Lytechinus pictus: one gene and its partners. The protein of the gene in region 1 purifies or fractionates together with the protein of each later gene. This does not show direct contact. Links are inferred from orthologs where the notes say so. Each region holds a gene or a part of one and is shown in the gene's direction. Other genes may lie near its edges. The genes, in order: E3 ubiquitin-protein ligase KCMF1-like; acyl-coenzyme A thioesterase 9, mitochondrial-like; palmitoyl-protein thioesterase ABHD10, mitochondrial-like.

Evidence for each region.
Region 2: the proteins of E3 ubiquitin-protein ligase KCMF1-like (region 1) and acyl-coenzyme A thioesterase 9, mitochondrial-like purify together in Homo sapiens (affinity purification with mass spectrometry; 3 studies listed by BioGRID and IntAct, with this or other methods). This does not show direct contact. The link is inferred for Lytechinus pictus from reciprocal best matches to the Homo sapiens genes KCMF1 and ACOT9.
Region 3: the proteins of E3 ubiquitin-protein ligase KCMF1-like (region 1) and palmitoyl-protein thioesterase ABHD10, mitochondrial-like purify together in Homo sapiens (affinity purification with mass spectrometry; 3 studies listed by BioGRID and IntAct, counting the BioPlex papers as one, with this or other methods). This does not show direct contact. The link is inferred for Lytechinus pictus from reciprocal best matches to the Homo sapiens genes KCMF1 and ABHD10.

The regions. Positions count from the first base shown.
Region 1 is NC_087256.1:14,249,409-14,257,484, forward strand, and holds the start of E3 ubiquitin-protein ligase KCMF1-like, read left to right. Parts: upstream 1-5,008; 5' UTR 5,009-5,227; coding exon 5,228-5,243; intron 5,244-8,076. Other genes in the region: dihydropteridine reductase-like, read right to left, coding at 19-102, 631-739, 1,254-1,394, 2,456-2,645, 4,767-4,853. UniProt on the Homo sapiens protein: E3 ubiquitin-protein ligase which accepts ubiquitin from an E2 ubiquitin-conjugating enzyme and then transfers it to targeted substrates, promoting their degradation by the proteasome.
Region 2 is NC_087260.1:23,355,236-23,362,448, reverse strand, and holds the start of acyl-coenzyme A thioesterase 9, mitochondrial-like, read left to right. Parts: upstream 1-4,145; 5' UTR 4,146-4,358; coding exon 4,359-4,399; intron 4,400-4,651; exon of another isoform or gene 4,652-4,764; intron 4,765-5,038; exon of another isoform or gene 5,039-5,153; intron 5,154-7,101; exon of another isoform or gene 7,102-7,213. UniProt on the Homo sapiens protein: Mitochondrial acyl-CoA thioesterase. Catalyzes the hydrolysis of acyl-CoAs into free fatty acids and coenzyme A (CoA), regulating their respective intracellular levels. Regulates both mitochondrial lipid and amino acid metabolism.
Region 3 is NC_087252.1:503,526-511,618, forward strand, and holds the start of palmitoyl-protein thioesterase ABHD10, mitochondrial-like, read left to right. Parts: upstream 1-5,031; 5' UTR 5,032-5,105; coding exon 5,106-5,395; intron 5,396-7,247; coding exon 7,248-7,365; intron 7,366-7,882; coding exon 7,883-8,029; intron 8,030-8,093. UniProt on the Homo sapiens protein: Acts as an acyl-protein thioesterase that hydrolyzes fatty acids from acylated residues in proteins.

The DNA.
Region 1 (8,076 bases):
AAAAGAATCAATACTTACTCTGATACATATTCCAATGTAGTCCATGAGGAGAAATCAGCATTGGCCATGAACTTTCTATTCATCGGTGTATCTAAGGTAACCCTGAAATAAGAATAAAGGAAAATTGTTCAATAACTAATCACTCTATGGCCATTGGACATTATTTGTACTTTGGTCATAACAAATCCTCTACATGACATTAATAAAGCTAGTAATTAATGCATTGTTACAATAAAATGTTATAAGCTAATGAAAAGGTGCAATGTGATCAGTTTGGGGAAAAATTACAGAGGCTCAGGGCAATCTTGCACCTGATATACTCAAAAGAGCCTTAGAAATTAGAAGAGAGCCCCCCCCAAAAAAATTTCCCATTTACTGCTTAGTTAATGTTGCAGATTTAGACAATCATTTGTGAAAAGTAGCTCCCGAAAGTAAATATTCACATTTTCGCCTCAGGGATGGGTTGCAAATATAGGTCATGGGATTCTAGTATTTGCTTTAGTTAGCATGGTTTACAGATCTAGACCTATAGTAATAAAGTGAAAACTAATCTTGGTTTTCAAGGCTTTCTCTTGAAATTATCTCTCTTGGCAACATTAGTTTAGCTACAAGAACCATTGAATTACTTACGGCAGGATGGCAAGAGCTGTAGCGTTTGCTGGTAATCCACTGTTATCAGCACCAAGACCTTTGGTGAGTTGATGAACAGCTGCCTTAGCCATACCATAACCCATCATACCTACAATTAATCAAAGAATGACATTCTTTAGTTAGAATATTTTATATTAAAATTCATGACAAATACTTCAGACATAGATCTATCATGTATCAACATTTCAGTGCCAGATATAGTCTACAAATTACATTTTTTAAGGATTTGAAAATGATGTGCCTGATCTCATTACAAGCCAGAAACTCATAAATCTTTATAAAGTTCAATCCAATGATACATGTATCTTTATATTGATTCATAAGGATTATGAGTCAATCTGTTTGTAGTTGTACTTTGGGAATTAGATCTAACTCTGCATAGCATACTGGTCTCATCATATGAACCCATTTTTCAAAATCTTATTTTTCAAGTAAATTGTCTAACATTCTCACATTATCAAAATTATTCAAAAGGGCATTTTTCTATGAAACACAACAAGTTATAGACTAGTATTAAAAACTAAGAACACATCTAAATTTTTAGTTGATTTGGTAATTTTGTGTTGGAGGGTCACATGTTGTTGTATATATTATTATCTGACCTGCAGTTCCTTCTAGCGCAGGGTATGCACCGGTCAGCTGAAGTAGGCCACCCTCCTTTAAATGCCTGGCAGCAACTCCAGCTGAGATGACTGATGTCCAGCAACTCTGTTTAATCATCAGGTCAGCATTCTTCACCAGGTCTACAGAGATATATTAAAAAAAAATCTTTATATTTACCAAGTCAATATGTGCACAAGAAATGTGCTACTGAAGTCTGAAAAAGATAATAATAATTAAAAAAAAAACAGGCTCTGACTGGGGGACATACGAAAACAATGAAAAAATGAATGACACCATGTTATCATCTAATGAAGATAGCAACATTAGAACCTGATAAAAAAGGGGGAAAATCCACAAAAGAGTATATAAATCCAGCAAAAATCTGAAAACTAAAATAGGCACTATGTTATTATCGTATCTCATGAAGACAGCACATGGTGATTTTTTTTTTCTTCAAATAATATGATTTAAAGTTATCCATTTTATTTTTCGGTTGTCTGATAATCTACACACATTGTTAACATCTTCTTCTTCAACTACTCTCACACTGAAGTGCTCTACTCATTTGTAAAATCAAACGCAGAGAAAAAGTGTGCATCAACATATGACATAGCTGACCTCAACATCAAATTAAAGAGAAAATCTTCCTAAGTTCCTACAATGAAAGACGTATAAACTATTAACTTTTTTAAATAACTAGAAATATATCTAAACAACATATAAAGTTTACCAGTGGCTAAAAATATTTCTGATTAATTCCCTTCTACTGCTCCAAAATTAAAGAGTAAATGTAACCAACTCTTGTTTAAATTCAGATGTGTATTAATGTTACAAACAACTTGAAAATAAACCTCTTCATATTTAACAGTCATACATGGTCACTCTACACACAGAAAACAGAAAGTGAATCAAGAAAATACACCTTTTTTCACCCTAAAAGATAGAATTAAAGGAAACATAAGGGGAAAAAATTCAAAAGGGAAATTTCACCATCTAGATTATAGAAAGTAATGGATCTGTAAAAGCTTTGACAAACACACTATCTTTCAATCTTATGAAGATATCACATTCCCATAATCACTGTACAATATCTGCCTAAAATGCAAAAAAGACCAATATGACTTTCAAATCATTGATGCATCATTTTTAATTGATTAAACCTATATACCAGATATTTGTGATAAAATAATGAGTAGCACACCTTTGGACTTTGCATTTCCTCCAGCCCATCCCCCTGCTACACATAGGATCGCATCTAACTTCTGACCAGAGAGGGCCTCCTCCACCTTAGAGTAGACTTCTTCCGACTGCGGGGTCCAGGCATTCAGCTCACTGATGATGACATTAGCATCTGCTTGCTCGTTGGGGGCCAAATCTGCAGATAATACCCACTAGAAAAGGAGCAAAGGAGAGAGAAAAAAAAAGATTACTGGGCTAAGTTAGAATCTGTCTCAAAAAGCAGCAAACCCTTTTTGGTTAGATTTTAATGATCATTTTACCCTAAATTGTTTACCAGAGTGCCCTGAAATATGTAAAGCATGTTTTGATGCCTTATAAGTGCAAGTGACATGTATTTTTGGAAAATACAGACGGATATTATTAGCCTATGTAACCTTGTAACATCAGTATTTGTTGAGTAGATCCAGTTAGTCATCTACAGCATTGGTCTACATGTACATTTAAATCCTTGCAGGGGTGGCTATCAAGCAGAAGTTAAATATGAGCATATCCCTGATAGGAACATAACAGAAATCATGGCCACTAATAATTTAGTATTGTTCATGATCCATCAATTAAAAACCGCTTTTAATATAATACTCATTCAGTTTTATTTGATTTGATTAAGCCTGCACTCATTTTTTATGTTACATTATATATATATATCATACTAGATCCGCCGGAAAGGCGAATCTTTTGTATTTTTTTCATTGTTCACAATTCGCCTAAACGCCCTCTACATTCGCCTATACGTCGAAATGTCTATTATGACGGAATAAACCCATTCATAGACTTTGCCCTTACATAGGATGTAGGCATATCTATATGGTATATAAAAGTATGTTTTTGCGCAATTGCAAGTTTTATAAGATTTTTATCAGATTAGACCCAGATCTATGTATCTTTAATGTATGTTTCAGATTTAATATGTATCAGATAATGAGATATGTTTTCTAATTGAATGACCAATAAAAACTATCAAAATAAATAAAAAATTACATCAACGAACATGACAAAAATGGCACACACAAACGAATGTAGAACTGAAAGCGGGGGGAAAATCTATCTTTTGTGGCATGTCTGTTCTAACTTCACTGAGACCACTTGTTCACTGCAACCACCCTGCCTGTGGGGAATCTACATGTAAATGTAGGTCTATGCAGTATACAACACACATTTAAACAATGCATTAAAATGCCACTTTCGGGAACAAAAATACTAATTTCCATACACTTGCAATTTATTTTTCACTAACTTGGGAATCGTTTTTGTATTCACCAGAGTGCTCAAATTGTGCATATTTTTGTGTAAGCCCTCTATTGGTGGAATGTAAAATCTCAAGAAAATTGTTGTTTTTCAATCTATATTTCTATTATTTAGAAAAATTAATATCTAAAAGAATTCAATTTATTACGAGCCAAGTTATATGATGAATAGATCTATCATCTAACGCAACAAGTTAGTCTACATCTGTTAGTTGCACTTGTAAATGGAAACTGATATTAAAAATCAAGCATTTGTTAGTAAGAGAACAAGAGAAAATAAGCCAAATATTGCATTGCCAACCTTATTTCCCCACAAAGGGGTAGACTCTAGTAACAGAGAACAAGGTTATATTCTAACCTTGTTCATTGACAATGAACATTAGTGAGACCGAGTCTGCTGTACAAAATTAACAATAACAGCGTCAGCGGTTCCGATTCACTCAAGGGTTCATTATTACATGCCGTCGCGCACAGAAAAATCAAGCCATATTATTACTTGTTGTGGACACCAGAACTTAGAAGTAAGATCCCAGCACGCGCGACCCACTAACAAAAGTTAGTTAGAAATCCACTGCCAAACGCGGTTCATGGTGCGAGGTTAGTATACTACGTATGAGTGGTTCCGATTCCCATCACCATGACCATGTCGTACTGAAAAAGGCTTGCAATTGCAAGTTGCAGTTCTCCGGTGAACGGAGGCATTCGACACAGAAGAAGGTATTTAATTACCATGCCCATGGCCCCATGCTATGTTGTTAGCTTGGCATACCTGTTGCTTGTTAGCTCCAGGGAGACCGTATACCTTTTCTTCACCAACCCTGCCCTGCGGCCCAATAAAGCCCCAATCTCAAAAACTTTTTGGAAGCCGCCACAGCGCAAGCTGCTTCCAACAAATATAACAACGGATGGGACCGTACTAAATTGTGTGCATGATTCACTTAAGTAACCGACCCTATTTTTCTTTGTAGTTATTTTTTTGAACTCCGAAAAAAGTAACATCAATGCAAATACAAGTTCTCAACACTTTACCCAGTTCTTTGATTTGTAAAAATTCACCAATTGTGAACCAAGGGCACCTTTTCCACCATAAACGAAGACACGGGAGTTTGCTGCCATTTTGATGTATGAAACACTGAGGACTTTTGTAAAATTCCTCTTGTTTTAGGAATATCGTCTAAGATAAAAATATAAAAAAATATTTAAATATCTTTTTAATTTTCTTTTTACGTAAAAATATATAAAAATTGTATTTGATTAGGAGTTTTATATTTCTATTCAGAAAACATATATTTGAGGTTGTGACATCACTGCTCATGGGGTTGAGCACTTTTGATCTTGACGAATATGGGTGCATAATTGGACATAAAAACATCGTTTATTTTTCATGTGGAACCTGTATTTAACATTTTTATGAAATTTTCATATCACAAGACTCTGCTCAAGCTGTGAATGGATTTTGAGTCTACATTGGGGCCGAGTTTTTGCCTAGGATGTCCCGACATGAAGGTAAGCAGATTGCAGAAACCGGAACATGTCAGCATTATCCCATAGGCTTTATGTGTGAAAAGGACCCACAGAATCCCCGACCCAGGCACAGTAAAAACAGTGCAGTGGCAGTATGGTTGGAAGTGGAACTACCCCTTATCGGCCACCTAATTTTCTAAGCATCTTATTTGCGAAAATATTTATCAGTTTTACCTAGTCTTCGTATCATTTCTGCAGAAAATTGAGCAGATTAGATTCCCATGTTTCGATCGGCGACTCCGTCTCCGATTCAATTTGCGTAGAGTCTAAATAATCAGTAAATCAGCGAACAACGAATACAACGATTTTGCATAAAATTTGCTCATTTGCACCCTTCTTTTGAAACCGACCACCCGTAATACACTAAGTTTACGGCCGATTCTTGTCGCGGTGGCGAAATATTTTGACTCTTCCAAATCAGTTCCATGATGTTATTGTTAACATGCTAAATGATCGTCTCAGTCTCACTACTTCCACTGCGAGCTGCGGCACATGATTCGACGATTGACGACAGATATTTGTTCTAAAGTCGTTTCCTATCGGATTTCTTGGTATGAACAACTGTTTTTCGGCCGGGTTTGGCTCTAGTCAAAACAATTTTGATGAATTCTACTAAATTTTTACCTTTTTCCCCTTCTTTTTCTCTCGTAAAATCGATTCTTACCGTTCCTATGGACACTGCGCCTACTCTCCCGCGCGTATCGTTTGTATGGTTGGAACTACCCCTTATCGACCACCTAATCTTCTCAGCATCGTATCTGCGAAAATATTCATCAATTTTACCCAGTTTTAGTCTCATTTGTGCAGAAAATTGAGCAGATCAGATTCCCATGTTTCGCTCGGCGACTCCGATTCAATCCGGGTATATATCGACGAACAACGAATACGACGATTTTACATTTGCTCATTTGCACCCGTCTTTTGAAACCGACCACCCGCGATACACTAAGTTTACGGCCGATTTTTGTCGCGGTGGCGAAATATTTTTACTCTTCCAAATCAGTTCTATGATGTCAACATGCTAAATGATCGTCTCACTACTTCCACTGCGAGCTCCGGCACATAATTCGACGATTGACGACGGATATTTGTTCTAAAGCCGTTTCCTATCGGATTTCTTGGTTTTTCAGCGGGAATTGGGTCTGGTCAATACAATTTTGATTAATTCTACTAAATTTTTACTTTTTGTTCTTTTTTTCTCGTAAAATCGATTCTTACCGTTCCTATGGACACTGCGCCTACTCTCCCGCGCGTATCGTTTGTAATACGCAATAATTTTAACGCGCGCAAGGTGGTCGGTTTCAAAAGAGGTGGTCGATATGTGGTAGTCTCACCATAATAGTAATACGCAATAATTTTAATGCGCGCAAGGTGGTCGGTTTCAAAAGAAGTGGTCGATATGTGGTGGTCTCAGTCGTCTCACTATACTAGGCCCTGATAAAAATAAAAGAAGATTGAGCTCGATCAGATTCATTTACGTCAGGGTCTATTAACAAAGTTAAAATCTATTCTACTGCAATAACAAGTAAGTACATGTAGACAAGACCAAGGTCTAAAAGTGGAAATTTTTGTGGTGTGGTCTTTTCGTGGCAAGATTGATCAGCAGTAGAGGCGCTGGTCCAAAAATTGGGATTGTCCCAGAAAACAAGGATATCTTCATAAACCAAGACAAATCATGTCTTGATAAATTGAGACTGTCCTTGTTTATGGGGACGTTTTTTTTTCACTTCCGCCTACGGGACAAAGACATCAATTACGGAATTGAGAGTGCTAAAGATAGATTCAGTGACCTCAATTCCCCCCAGCTCACCGTCTATTTTTCATGATTTACCGTCTTCCAATAATCTTGTTATGAAACCTGATATGTTTACATTGACTAGCGCACTTGATTAGTGTCTGCACTTGACAGGTGAATGAACTTTACTAGATCTCTTGTGTGAAGAAGTCTTTAAAAACTGAGACAGTCCCTGTAAACTGGGATGATCCCAATTTTCTGACCAGCGCCTCTACTGATCAGCGAGCGCGAATTTAATTTTAAAACATGCGAATTTATGTCTCTGAGCATCTATTGTAATACAAGTTTTGAACTCCGGTTCAATTGCATGTATCATTTTGGCTGCATAATTTGACCTATAGAGGGCAACATTTAAGCAAGCAAGCTTGGGCTTGAGCTCCAAAATCATTCATATGCATCACCAGAATTTGTTCCAATGCGATCATTTTTTTAAGTCGCAGAACGGTATTGAGACTCTAAATTTTGATTTTGCTTGAAATACATGTATAAGTTCTTTTTGCAGTTTGATTGGTGAGTGTTTAACTCTAGATCTGTTTAGTTTTTAAGAAGATGTCTTGTTGATCGCCCAGGCCATGCAGGCAAGGTTTGTTGATTGATCCCATGCACTTTGTTTGAATAGCCGTAATCCCCCCGGTCCTTACCCAGTGCTCGGCTGTCCTACCAGGCCAGCAGCGCCTCTGTTTTGCCTTCCCAGATGTCCCCCCCCCCCACAAAGAAAAGTTGCGCTAAATGTCACAAAAGCTCATGATCGGATCAAAACAATGCTGAATTATGCCTCTTTAGAGCAAGAATTATGATCAGAAAATATAATTTCGTTGCTGAAATGTTAATTATAATCATTCACACATGGGGAAGAAGGAAGTGACTCTGTGATTATGGAGTGTGCAGCGTGAATTCAAGAACTTGCGAATATGTTTTGAAGCTGCCAAGCGAGAAAAATTAATCCCGCCAAAATAACAGTGTTTACATATTACAGTACCGTATTATATTGTTGCGTCACATACATGTAGCATGATATGC
Region 2 (7,213 bases), on another chromosome or scaffold:
AATTTTTTTTCATGAAAAGTAATATAATGAAACATGAGTTTTTATTAGAAACTTAATTTGCATTTGATTTGTGTTTTTGAGCAATTTGCATCCGCTATGAACTTACATATTGTATAACTTCAGAATCTCATCAGTAAAATATACAAATTTACAACTGCATTTTGGGTTGTGAACATACATCATACATGTACATGTATTACTCCCCCCCCCAAAAAAAAAAGAAACACCAATGGGGCCAAGCCAAGGGGTGGACTTAAGCCACAAATGGGTGCATTACATGCCGCTGTGTCAGGAAAATTGAAGGCACGGTGCATGCAAAATTGCAACAATTGCATGGCCCTTACGCGAATTTAAGAAGAGGTTTTATAAAATCGAGTCCTTATACGAAACTTACTAAACGATGTGAAGTAAATTCCCCCTAATATCATGAATATCCCTCAAATAGCGTCATTTAAGCGTTGATTTTTCTTCTCGTTCACAAAATACGGAGCTTTCTTCTATTTCCGAAATTTTTCGTCTTATTAGCTAAAGAGGGCACGCGATTTATCATCATATCAAAGACACAAGGGAAAGACTAGGCACAAAAACTATTTTACACATAAATTGATGCAAAGCGTTACGTGAAGTCGGCAAAGTGTGAACCGTTTTACTGTAAAGACTTTGGTGGAAAGTTTCTTGACAAACGAAAGGTAGCACTGCGGGCTTTGTTCAAGGTACGTAGAATTTTTTTTTTTTTTTTTCCATTTGTACATGTAGGTATGTTACAAAAAAAATTGAGAACTGAGGTGTTTGTTTCAGAGCATCATTTAGAGCTCATCAAGACCTTTCATTTAACACCCTATTCATCTCAATAGCCCCAGTAGCCTCAACAGCTGCCATAAACATTCAACTACGTAAAAACACTTCAGGCTCAGCCACAACATTGCCTTGGCTTCACTCACACGTATTGCAAGGTAAGTATGCTATACTAACCTTGCACTACGAACGTGTTTACGCAATGGATTTTAGAGATGTCAGTTAACATCGCTTCATAACACAAATAATGTTAGCCGAAACTCATTCAGCTACTCACCAGGGCTTTTTTTTGTTGAAAAGCGTTCTATTTTCAATTTTAAAAATATTTTAAATATAAAAAGCACATAAAAAAGAGCAAACTCGCTAACCTCGGCCTGGAAAGTGGCTTCGCATGTCTCTTCCACGGAAATGAAAGGAAGGTCGTTACTGGCGCTAATACAATTCACAACCTTAATTCAGCTTGTCAGTATTTTTAAACTAGATCCTTGATTTATTGTATGCGCATTTCCTATGATTGTTTGATAAAATAGAGACACACATTGGACACTTTGCCGACTTCACGTAACGCTTGCATCGACTTTACGTGTAATACAGTTTTTGTGCCTAGTCAAAACTGTTTTTGTGCAAATAGTCTAAATCAGTTCAAATCCAGACTTGAAAAATTTTGGCACAACCATCCTCTGAAGTACAGACCTTACCAAAGATAAGAAAATCAACGAGTAGCACATAAGCAGATTGCTTTACATCTCAACATCCAAGTAAATCCAAGTAGTCTTTCCCTTAAATTAATTAATTAATTGTAGTGTCTTTGATATGAGGATAAATCGCGCGCCCTCTCTAGCTAATTAGACGGAAAAATATTTGGGAAATAGAAGCAAGCTCCGTATTTTGTCAACGAGAAGAAAAATCAATGCTTAAATTGACGCTATTTGAGGGATATTCATCATATTACATGCATTAGGGGGAATTGACTTCCATGACATGCATCGTTCGGTAAGTTTCATAGGATTTGATTTTATGAATCATCTTCTGAAATTTGCAGGAGTTTGTTGCAATTTTGCATGCGCCTTGCCTTCATTTTTCCTGTACACCCAGTTGGACGATCAATTTTAGAAAGTCATTTGGAAAAATTTACAAGCGAAGTTTCAGCAATTTTTAGTACAAAATGTTACTGTTAGGAAATATTATAAAGAACAAAATAGAAGATGACTACAATTTAGATTAAATTCATATTCTTAGTGTAATCCAAACAAAGACAAAAAAGAAGGCTTCAAAAATATAAAGTGTCCGGACACCCGACCCCCATCCTACATGGCGGCAGTAATGCACCCATGGCATGGGTGCCTTGGGCTTGGCTTTTGCCCTGCCCCTGGCTTGGCCTTGCCACATCGCCATCGGGAATTTTAAGCTCCATTATTTTCAGTTCACTTTCAGCATCGATCGATCTTGTTCTTAATCTTTATTCTTAGTCATGTTAGTCTTCTTCTTCTTCAAGCTACACTGCCTCCTTCAATCCTGAAGATTCTTGCAGTATTGTAGTACCGGGGACCGGCAGGTGCAATACACCGGGTGAACACCCTACTCTTTGACGAATAGTGTATTGGTTTTAACGTGAATAGGTTGTGACTCTCCTATAGTAGCTATACACGGGACCAACATTTGCGTCCTTTCCGATGGACGGAGTGTTTTCCAACTGCATTCACACCCGCACTGAACACAGCGGTGAGGCACGTTAACACACAACGCTAGCATCAGTTTTTTTGTAAGACGTCTTCCGGCATGCTGCGGGACTCGAACCCACGCACGTTGAGATCTACGAGTACGATCTTATCCGGAACAGGCGCTCTAAGACCAAGTCTAAGACCTAAGTTTCTAATCTAAGTATGGTTGGAACTACCCCTTATCGACCACCTAATCTTCTCAGCATCGTATCTGCGAAAATATTCATCAATTTTACCCAGTTTTAGTCCCATTTGTGCAGAAAATTGAGCAGATCAGATTCCCATGTTTCGCTCGGCGACTCCGATTCAATCCGCGTATATATCGACGAACAACGAATACAACGATTTTACATTTGCTCATTTGCACCCGTCTTTTGAAACCGACCACCCGCGATACACTAAGTTTACGGCCGATTCTTGTCGCGGTGGCGAAATATTTTTACTCTTCCAAATCAGTTCTATGATGTCAACATGCTAAATGATCGTCTCACTACTTCCACTGCGAGCTCCGGCACATGATTCGACGATTGACGACGGATATTTGTTCTAAAGCCGTTTCCTATCGGACTTCTTGGTTTTTCAGCGGGAATTGGGTCTGGTCAATACAATTTTGATTAATTCTACTAAATTTTTACTTTTTGTTGCTTCTTTTTTTCTCGTAAAATCGATTCTTACCGTTTCTATGGACACTGCGCCTACTCTCCCGCGCGTATCGTTTGTAATACGCAATAATTTTAACGCGCGCAAGGTGGTCGGTTTCAAAAGAGGTGGTCGATATGTGGTAGTCTCACCATATAGTAACTAGTGAGTCACTAGTCTAACCGACCGAGTCTGACTCTGAGCTACACTGCCTCCCATCTCAGTCGGTCTCAGTAGGACTTCATCTTCACAGTATTATTTTTTATTATTGACTGAAGTAAGTGATCAAAATTTATGCAAACGTGCAAGTCAAGTCAAAGGTAGAAAAAAAAAACGGTCGAATCGAAACACAGAAACGTGATTGCCCCTACGCCCTATATGCATAAGAATCGCACGCACGGGCATGACGGGTTGAGCTGGTGTATGGACCGGATACGGACTACACAACACGGCGTTAGTTTACTTTAAAAAAAAATATTTTAAGTTCAAGTTTATGCAGGTAAGCAACGATAAATTTGTCATGTAAACCTATATAATCTTGGCTCACCTTATCAAAAGGACTTCAATTCAAGCCGGGTGAGACAGTGATTGTCCAGTGATTTTTTTAACGACAACTCTTCTCATGGGTCCACTGCGCTGCCAGAAGAAAAGTATATTTCACGTTATATTAGACCAACGAACGTAGAGGGCAGCAACACACAAGCGTGTTGCTCTATCTAGCTAAGGAAGGTCAACTCCGCTCGAATTTTGTGACCACTCTAAAAAATAAGGTGGGGTTTTGGGAAATTTGTCGAGTTGATTTTTTTTCATTTGATAATTTCAAATATTTTTAATGAACAATTATTAGATCGCTTATTCTGGGTATAAATATTAAAAATATTATTCTTATTTTTAAAGAAAATATTTAGCTTCAATAATCATGATTTTGACATTTTTCCTCATTTTGGAATATTAAGTCTATGACGAGGATACCCCTAATCTGTTATTTTCTTCTGCTGAATTTCGCTGCACCACTAATAAATGCATAGACAACCACCGTAATAATCGAGGTCATTTTTCCGGCCTGGGTGCGCCGAGTCTGGGCCGGTCGCGCAGCTAGCTATAGTGACGTTGATGATGCGCTGGGGCTTCAGGCGACTCGTCATAGATCTTCTAGCAACATAGACAATGACGTCTAATTTGCCTGGCCTGATTTGAAGTGTAATGGCTTCAGGGCTGATGTTAATCAACGATGATTGTTCAAGGTTAGATTTCAAATTTTAATTGTCATTTGACTTTTAAGTCTATAAATCTGAAATAAAGGCGCTGTATCCCCGAAATCCGGGTCTAAATTTCAACTCCGAGTCCGAGACCATGGCATGGACGTCGAAAAACAACAACCCACGCATCGGATGCATTGCATTGGCTGCGCGCTGCGCTGCAGCTGCACTGTGATGATGGATTCAGCGAAGAGCTCAGAGAAAATAAGGTGGTCATATTCAATCCCGAAATGCTTTGCGAGTGGTCACAAAATCGTCTCGACGCAAATCACCTAAAGGCCACCGCACACCTTACGACTGTCCGCGATCCGATTTTGGAACAAATCGCATTTTGCTCATTTTCTGAAAATGTGAATGGAACATATCATTTAATTTGAGGTTTAAATTAATTGAAAGAATACTAATATAACCATTTTGAAAGATTGCAAGCCTTTATTTCTGAGTAAAGGCCAAATTAGTTTCAAATCGTAGCCAATCGTACGACTGCTATGACGTCATTACGACTAGATATTAAATTCGCTTTTATTCTAAGAAGGATGATAGCATAGTCACAGATTTGAACATAGGTATTCGTACGATGATTTAGAACATTACACAGTAAGATATTCCAAATCTCAATGTTAGCATCAAATTCTACTACATTTCATTCTGAAATCGGGTCGCAGACCAATCGTAAGGTGTGCGGTCGCCTTAATACAGCCGTCTGGTGAAATCGCTGATAACAACAATCACCGATTTGGTAATGATTTAGTTTCTAAAACTTATATTTGTAAAGTTTTAAATATCAACGTATGTTTTCAAATGTACGTATATTCTCCAACATAATTTTTTAATGTTATCTTTGATATCGTTGTAGTCATATTCTTTCATATTGTTTTCGTGATCGCTACTAATTTGTTGTTGTATTGGATCGGCGTATGATTTCGTTGGCATAAATGATAAAATATGCGCGTACCTCAGCTGCATGCGCGTATTGAGTTGACCTTCCTTAGAGCAACACGCTTGTGTGTTGCTGCCCTCTACGTTCGTTGTAATAGACGTAGACAAACGAACGTAGAGGGCAGCAACACACAAACGTGTTGCTCTATCTAGCTAAGGAAGGTCAACTCCGCTCGAATTTTGTGACCACTCTAAAAAATAAGGTGGGGTTTTGGGAAATTTGTCGAGTTGATTTTTTTTCATTTGTTAATTTCAAATATTTTTTAATGAACAATTATTAGATCGGTTATTCTGCAGATCATCCGAAAAATCAAGATGAACAAAAACATATAAACATTTAAAAGAAATACATAGACGTATACAGGGGCCGCGGAGCGGGGGGGGGGGGGGGGCTTCAGCCCCCCACTTTTTTCCAAAACCGTGTACAAAAACGTAAAAATTACCATATGATTGTGATTTTTGCATGGTCAGCCCCCCCCCCCCCACTTTGAAAACCGTTCCGCGGCCCCTGGTATAGGCCTATCACCAGAAAGACTATAATATATAGTCGCATTCACCTGTGTGCAAGAACATCACAATTCCCTTATCAAAATGTGCTTATCAAGAGTGTACAAAATAATAAAATTATACGTCCCTAACAATTAAGAGGGATATATTATGATATAAATTGTTCCTTTTCTTCTTGTTCTGGCCATGACTTTAAATCATATTTGTCTATTAATAATCAAACTGCATATTTCAGACCTATTTCAAGCACTGAAATAATTAATATTGTTATTGTTAAATACAAGTCCAAGCTATAATGGTATATATAGTATAGAAATGTCGGTCATTAAAAAAAAACTATTTTGATCAGCAGTGAGCCATTAAGTGCATTATTTAATAAGTGTTTTGAATTGGGATCATTTCCATGTCAACTACAGATTGCAAAAGTTATTCCAGTTCATAAAAAAAGGGTCCTTCTGAAATTATGTCTAATTATCGACCTATCTCATGCAGTATACAAGCTATCTTTTCTAAAATATTAGAAAAATGTATCTATCTATAACCGATTGTTAAATTTTATCATAAAGTGCAATGTATTGAACCCTACTAATGATATGGTTTTAGCCAGGATATTCCACATCTGCTTTATTGGTAAATTTTATTCAGAAAGTTACTCGTGCATGCAATAGATGATGAAGAAATTATGATTGCTTGTTTATAGATCTCAGCTGAGCTTTCGGTAAGATCGACCATTTTATTTTATTAGAAAAAACTAAACTCTTATGGAATTAAAGGAATCACATTGGATCTTTTCAAAAGTTATTTAGGTAATCGCAAACAATGTAGTGATAAGTTTTATCTTAATATTGCAAAATGCGGAATTTCGCAGGGTTCAATACTCGGCCCTCTATTGTTTTTATTGTACATGATTTCTGTATTAAAAGGCCTCTGACCAGTGGCATACCTAGGATTTTCCACAGGGGGGGGCAAAACCGTCCGCCCAAAAATTTAACAAGCAAAAAAAAAAAAAAAAAAAAAAAAAAAAAGGTCTTCAAGTCAGGGGGCATTGAAGGACTTAAAGCTCGTCAGAGGGGCAAAAAAGGTTTTTCAAGCCCGTCAGGGAGGGCAAAGATACGTTTTTGCATGGGTTGTGACTCGTCAGGGGGGCAGAGTGCCCCCCCTGCCCCCCCCCCCCCCGTAGGTACGCTAGTGCCTCTGACCTTTTAAAATGTATTCTAGTTGGCTTCACCACCTTTCTCTAGCTCATCTTTCATGATCATCGAGAAACGCAACCCGGATTAAAACCAACTGGTGTACGTATTTCCGTGGTGTGAACGGGTGCTTTACCTTCCTTCCTGGTTTTCTCCCTCCGCT
Region 3 (8,093 bases), on another chromosome or scaffold:
TTGCTGGCACAACCTCTGCCACTGAAGTCTGTCTGCCTTGTGCCACACTGGATTCATTGACATCCTCTGAATTACCACCAAATGACACATCAGTTTGTGGATAGGTTGCAGTTCCTTCTATGGGCTCTTCTGTATAATATTGCTTTCTATTGTCCTCTGCCGTTTGGCCCTCAACAACAGAGGGGTCTAGTTTTCCTGCTGGGATGCGATATGTTGGTGAGGAATACTGGCAGCTCCTTGTGATGAGGACTGGTAGACTGTTGGCCTATTGAAACTGTCATGGTACCTGATTCCGTGCTCCAAGTGGGGAAGCTTTGATTCTCCTGATGCCAGTTGCCAGCAGAGTAATTATAATCATGTGCAGGGTAACCGCTAGGTATGTTGGGGCAGTCACGTCGTAGATGTCCCTTATGACCACAGCTGAAGCATCGTCCATCAGTCCTCTTTCTCTGAGGCTTTCCTCCTTTCAGTCTGGCTACTTCTCCCCTAAGTTGCTCCAACTCCGTCATTATAGCTTTCTGTTGTTCTACTACCTGTTGCACAAGCATGGAATCTTTCATGACTGCCCTTCCAACTTCGATATCTGCTTCTCGGACTCTGGGCCTCTGAGTGGTGGCAGTCTCCTGAAAGAGTTTGAGGGCTTCCTCACGAATCTTGGCGAATCCATTGGTTTCATGCATCATCTGTATTCGCCTCAACTCTCTCCTCACCCAAGCCTCCCGGGCACCATTGACAAATTGATCACTTAAGGTCTTGTTTTTCAACTGGCTTAAAGCTTCTCCTTGAGCTTGTGTAGTGGCAGCTTTTTCCATCTTGTTGTAGGTGCGAATCAGGGCACGGCTGAAGTCACAAAGTGATTCTCCATCTCTCTGTATGCGATTATGAAACTGACTACTGAGGGTCTGTGTGGTTTCCTGATAGCCAAAGCACAATTTCAGACGACTTACTATTTCATCAAAATCCTGTCTCTTTGATTCACTGAGACACATTATTTCCTCTCGTGCTGGTCCTGAAAGGTGATCTAGCAACAGTCGAGCTTTGCTACTCATTTCCATATTTTGGTTAGCAGTTACTCCATTAAATTCTTCAAGCCATTCTGACAAGGACATATCATCCGCATGATGTGGCATCCCTCGGAATTTTGGTAAGTTGCTCTGTAATATACTTTGTAATCCAATTGAACGGCGGAAGAATTGGGACAAAACATCCATATTCTCAGTCGTAGCTGATGATGAACTCGATCTGGTTTCCATGATCCTAGATTTGAATTTGGCACATAAAAAGAACTTTGCATACAGAATAGCGAAACCACAATACAATCACTGCACAAATCAGAGAAAAAAGAGCATACAAATGTTGTCCATTATTTTACATACAGTCTGACCGAGGCTGTTTAGAACCAGTCTAAAGTCATTCCAATTTTATGTTGTGCACGATGACACCAGGATAAGACCACATACACGTAAGTTCTCAAGATTTCTTCTAAGTCCAATATCTGCAGAGCCCGTACCAGATGGTCCCTTGTTGCTGATGATCCCACTTCTGACACCATTGAAAGGGTTCGCGCCGACGACCACACAACACAGACACGACTCACAAGGGCTGAGGTTTCATTGGGTTCTTTTATTTACCAAGGGAAAAACAGCCTCGGTCAGACACTAATTCCGCATTTTGCTTCGACATCTTAAGTACATGAAAGGAAGTCCTTGCAGAAGTCTTCTATACTTCAAAGTTAAACTTTCTTCTGTAGGGACAAGTCTCCTCCTCAACAACAAACAGTGGGAATGCCCTTGCTACTGCCAGTGTGTCATGAGTCACTGGACTCTCTCCCTATCTAACAATAAAAGTGCAATGGTGCACATCAAAGTACAAAAGCATCCCTAAAGGGGGTACATGAATTGGCATTACTGCTACCGTAAGTAACGGTGTATTAACCGCACCTTTTTCTCGGCGGGATATAAGCAAAAGTCGGGGGTGCGGTTTATACACGGTGACGGGTCTGAGCCCGCCCGTGTAGCCCCTCCCGAACATGTAGGAAGTCTGCCAGTTCACAACACATCGAGTGGCCGGCCGTAGCCGCCCAGTGCAATGTCGTTTAGAGGGGTATGAGCCGCGGGTAATGGGTAGCGATTATTATGATCTTATGATCAAATACTGTCGTAACAAATGCACCCACCTTCATGACACTAATTTCGACTTTATTCTCGATTCAAAGCAGCGAAGTTCCCTGGCTAAGTTCATAGAGACGCCAAGCATTCTCGGTAATAATTTGTCACAGCTGAGCGAGAGCCAAGAGCTAGCTTGCGTTGTATTTTGGTTTTAGTGCGACTTAAGCTGGCGCTATTCATTTAATTTAACCCCTCAAAGTCCCGTTTCGCGCCAGCTTATTTTTTTCTTTCCTGTTTGCTTTTCATAAGATACCATGTACACCGTGCACCACGCACGATAGAGACGGCACGAAGCCGTCAAACAACTGGAAAAAATACAAATTTCTTTGTTTCTTGAACCTTCCTGTAATCCCGTATCCAAAATTCATGCTAAGACATCGAATGCTAGACAAATTCTGAAAGTGATTGTGAGGTTGTGATGCAAGAAATGTGAAAGACACAGATCACAATTTGATAAGATGTACTGGTAGTGGTACCGTATCGAAGTTTGAAATGTACATGTACAAGAAAGGCAGTGCTGTGTGTGTGTACACTGTGACTGTGAGGTGAGTGAGTGTGTAAATTGCCAATATTGGCGGGACCTTTCTTTCTTGCTAACATTTGTAGATGAATTGATCAAGAACAGCAGATTTCTGCATACTGGTAATCTCTTTGAATACTTTGAAATCTTTAACTTAGTTTTTGTTTCTTCGTACCTCAAATATGCATGTAAATGTGAGGATTTTTTTTTTTTTTTTTTTTTTTTTTTTTTTTTTTTTTTTTTTAGTCCAAAGTTGGGGGTGCGGTTTATACACGGGTGCGGTTAATACACCGTTACTTACGGTACTCCTAAAAAGGCGGGAAAGAATTAGCCAATGAGCAGAGAGGGAAAGAGTAAGTCAAAGTTGGTAGAAGTACAGAGAGGGAGAAAGAGTACTAAAGATAAAGTTGGCAGATATAATGTGAAATATAGATTCATTTTACACATTATATACTGAAATGAAATAATAAAACAAAGTATCCTTTTGACTAGCTTTTTAAGGAAATATTATACAAGAAAAATCCAATTTACAACAGAAACAACACCAACAAAAGCATGATTTTTTCCACCCAAAATTTTGTCTCACTGAGGTCAGAAGCCCATTTGTTTTGTGTGTGATTGACAACAAAAATCCTTATCAAAACAAAAGTAGATGGTGAATTTTTAAAGTAGACGGTGAAAAGGGGTAATTTTTCATGAGGAATCTGATTATCACATTTTTATTTGCCGCCAAGGTAATCCTTTTGCAGCAAATGTAAACAAAGGAAATTGGTCTCCAAAACTGGAGACTGTCTCTGAAATTGGATACCCAAATTCTTCACAAAAGTCTCTGATTTTGGAGATAATCTCCCACAATGGAGACAGTCTCCAATATTGGCCGTGCGCCTCTACTGCTAAAGAGTAAAGGCGGACGAAAATCCCCCCCCCCCATTGAGATCGACATTGCCACTATTGCCAGAGCTGCGCTAGACCAAAAGCTTCGGTCTCTGTTATGTTGGTTGTTCAGCTGAACTCCGTTGGCTTCACTCACCAAATACAGAGACCGAAGTTCTAGCGCGATCTGTACAGGGGACTCAATGGCCATATGTTTATGTACTTAAGATCGGATAAAACGGGGAAGTGAATTTGCGCGACAGCCGAGGTAAGTCACTGTTTTTGTTCCTTTTACCTTGATTTTTCTCCGTTTTTTGGCAATTAATGCCAAGAGGGAATATTAATTTGCATTTTGGTCGCGTTAATTTTCAAAATTTTTATTCATTAAAGACAAAAATTGAAAAGCCCCGACGGGGGGATTTTGCATTGCAAGTCCCCTAATGGTGGCTGCACGCTAGCGAGCCGTCTGTGTACGAGGAGAAATTAAAATAAAAAAAATGTTAAAAAACTCCTCGAAACAGACGGCTGCCAGCTGTCTAGAGCTGCGCATGCGCGCGTTGCAGAGGTTGTCTGTCCAAATCAATATTACACGTACCGTATAGTCAATAGTACTAAATAGAACCAAATCTGCAAACAATATGAAAGTAAACATCAAGCCGCGTCAAACCCGGCGGATATGGTTCCGATTAAAAACGATATCGGCCAGTTAGAACGATATCTGCCGGTGGAACCAAATCCGCCGCTACACCGGCGGCCACCGCCGCGCTGCACAGTCACAAACCATTGATTGCAAACGGGCACCACACACAGACAGTGACTAGTGAGACATGGCATGAATCATGCCATGATCAACAGACGGGACGGGACACAGTGCAGTCTCACTCTCATCTCAGACTCAGTCAGAATCTCACCACCAGCTCACTCAACACAAATGACAAGAAATGAAGAAAATACTGTTTTTTCTCACCTTACGCCGTCCCATTGAAATGAGCGCTTGGATAGAATGGTTAACAAATAGATCTTTCCACTTAAAATCTTCAAAATGTCGAGAATTCTTTTAAATATCGTTCAGATTGTGTGAAGTTTCGATACGGAAAGCGTAATTCGTCGAATGAATGAGTACGAAGTTGCCAATCTCGAATTAATTGTGTTACCTGCAAAATTTTGAAAATTATAGCCTAATAATATTATTATTTGATTAAAAATAAAATAAAATAAAATATTTCTAACTTTTATAAATTTATTTAATTCATATAAGAAATTAATATAGTTATTATTGTCATATTTGTTACAAAAATCTTAATTCTTAATACTTCATCCGAAATTGGAAAACCTAAACCGCGGAAACTTGGCGTTGCAATCATAATTTTGATGAGATTTTAATAAAATTTGGGGAATGAATCACAATGATTTGAATTAAAAATATTATAATAGAAATAAATTTATATTAAAAATATTTTAGCATAAGAAACGAACACCTTATTCAGACATGTTGGTTGGTCCGCATTCAATATTCTAATAAGTGGCTGTTTTCTGAAAACAAAATGTCAGCGCCCTTGTGCTATTTTCGGTCTTGTTTAAATTTTCGCATGTTCTGTCTTTCTGCTCCCAAATCTAACTCCCGTCTGCAAATCCAGCAGCGATTCATGATGACAGACGACAGGGAGAGTCTAGAACATTTACAAAGGACACACACGTCATCTATAGCTTTTCGTCAAACGCCCGGGAAAGATCCGGGCGTCGTGTTTTTACCGGGATACATGAGCAACATGACCGGCGGAAAAGCCGTGGCACTGGAGGGCTACTGCAGGCGGCGTGGGCATGCCTTTGTTCGGTACGTGATATATTTATCTCGTTCCGCTTCAGTGATTTGTTAAGCCACTTAAGGTCCTGACTATGAATCCTGACTCGGGAGTCGACATAACATACAATGCAAGAAGAATAGGCTCCGAAGAATATGCCGATATCTAGACTATAAATGTATAATTGATTAGAAATTAATACAATTTATACTAGAGTAGGCTTAACTTTAATTTAATTTTACTATTTGTATTTTTAGAATCTTAAAAGTTAAACGTCAGTTTTTTGTTTTGAATTCTAATGACTGTTACTTGTCAAAATTAATTGGAAAATTATGACTGAACTTCTTTATTTTTCTTACATGTAAAAAAGTTAGATCTAGATCTAACTTTTTTTTGGTAGTATAGTGAGTGATTGTATTACTATTACCGTAAATACCGACCAGCCTTGTATTACCGAACGCGCGCATCGTAGCATCAGAAAATAATTTTATATGCTCAAAACTTTGCAACATTCTTCCAAAGGGAACTTGAATAGAAAGATTATGAAAAATGGTCAAAAACACATTTTCAAAATATTAATATTTCTAAAAGTGATAAAATATGGTAAAAATAGCTCATCACTAGACATCAGTAATTTTGTTGTTTTCTCAACTTATCCCATAGAAAACACACGTTCGGTAATACGATACCTTTATCAAGTGACCATATATTTCACATGCGAAGAGGGGTCCGATTGGAAGCTAATATCGTAAAAAGGAAAAATGATTTTGGCAAAACTTTTACATATTTATATTTTGAAGGTAATTGTGTATTTAAGGTGAAAGTTTGGTGATTTTTATGAGAATAATGTGTTTGATATGATTGAATTCATGAAAAGTGTTCGGTAATACGATCCACTACCATACAGTCAGTGAGTCATGTACCAATAGCTAATTTATAACCAAACTTTCTTAACAAAATTTTGTTCTAAACTAAAGTTATGTCTAAATGTTCTGGAGATTTTTAGATTTAAATGTAGACTAGTTCTACATTTAAATCCCCAAAACTTCTAGACCTAACATAAGTTTAGAACAAAATTTTGTTAAGAAATCGAATGTTTGGTCAAGAAATTAGCTACAACATGACTCATTGACTGTACTATACTAACAAAAAAAAGTTAGATCTATTCTAGATCTGTCTAAATGTAGTGTCTTTGAAATGAGTCTAGATGTAGTAGTACATGAGTACAGTGTCAAAATTTTAGTTAATTGGTCAGACATTTAAATAATACTAAGTACTAGCATGACTAGGTCTATAGAAGAATCAAATGTAGGCCTATTGTATATCTACATGATTATTTATTTACATTGTTGTGATTATTTGATGTCTAATCATCATTATTGTGAACAATTAATAATCATCATAACCATATTTTGGTCCATCAATTTCTCAGTAGTAATCATCATCATCTTGATTTGTCTTTGCTATCACCATCACCATGGTCATTGTCATCAATTTACCATCATCAGTTACTGTAACCGAAATTGATTCCCATCATTGACATAATTGTCATCACCACCATTTGCCATCATCGTCATCTTCATATTCTTTATCAAAATAATAAACTCGTAGTGGAACTCATGCCATCAATTTATCACCACTATCTTTATCTTTATCATCATCATCATTACTGTACCATCATCAACATCAACACCACCACCATCTTTACAATCATCATCACCCTCCTCATCTCCACCACCACCATCATCGTCATCATCATCCTCTCCACCATCCTTGTCATCACCATCATGTATAATTACTTGTAGTCATTGTCATGACGTCATTGTCATCAATTTATCATCATCATACTTGCCATATTTAAAAGTCTTCTTTTTTACCCACCAGCTTTGACTACCAAGGCTTAGGTGAGTCTATTGGGGAGATGAGGAAAGGAGAAAAGATGTTTGACGTATGGAAGTCAGATGCTCTTGCTGTTCTGGATGAACTAACTGTAGGGCCTCAGGTGAGAAATTAAAAAAAAATGTTAATTCGACCAAATTCTCTATCTTACTCTGTCTGTTTGTCGGTTCCCCCCTTCTTATTTCTCTCACTTCACCTCTAATTTTTCTTCCCTTCACTTTTTCTTTTTTTTTTCCTCCTTCTCGCCTTCCCCCTCTCTATAATTATAAATCTCTCTCTCTCTGTCTCTTTTCTTCCTTCCTCTTTCTCTCTCTTCCCCACTCTACCTTACTCTCTTAATTTTTCTCCTTTCTTCTCTGTTGCTATTCATATGTCTTTTTACTTTCAAGGGGAGGGAGGGGGGGGGGGTGTTTTGCTCTCCCTTTTTACAATTTACAATTTTTTGTCAGGGTGAACTTCCCCTTTAATCGTTTGTATTTCTGTTGTTACTATTTATAAAAGCAAACAAGCTGTGTCAGATTAAGAAACAAAGTTCTGCTGACCACCCCCCCCAAAAAAAAAAAAAATCTTCTTAAATATGACTATTAGAACCTTTTCAATCCATTATCATTTTATTTTAGATTCTTGTTGGTTCCAGTATGGGCGGGGCCATTATGCTGCTTTTAGCATTAGAGAGACCAGAACGTATCCACTCACTGCTTGGGGTAGCTACTGCAGTACAGTTTGACAGACCAATGTCTGAGCAGAAGAGGGGCCATGTCCATGAGGTAAGTAGTGTAGCCTTAAAAGTAAAATAAAGGGAAAAAAAACAAGGAGAAGAAGAGAATATTC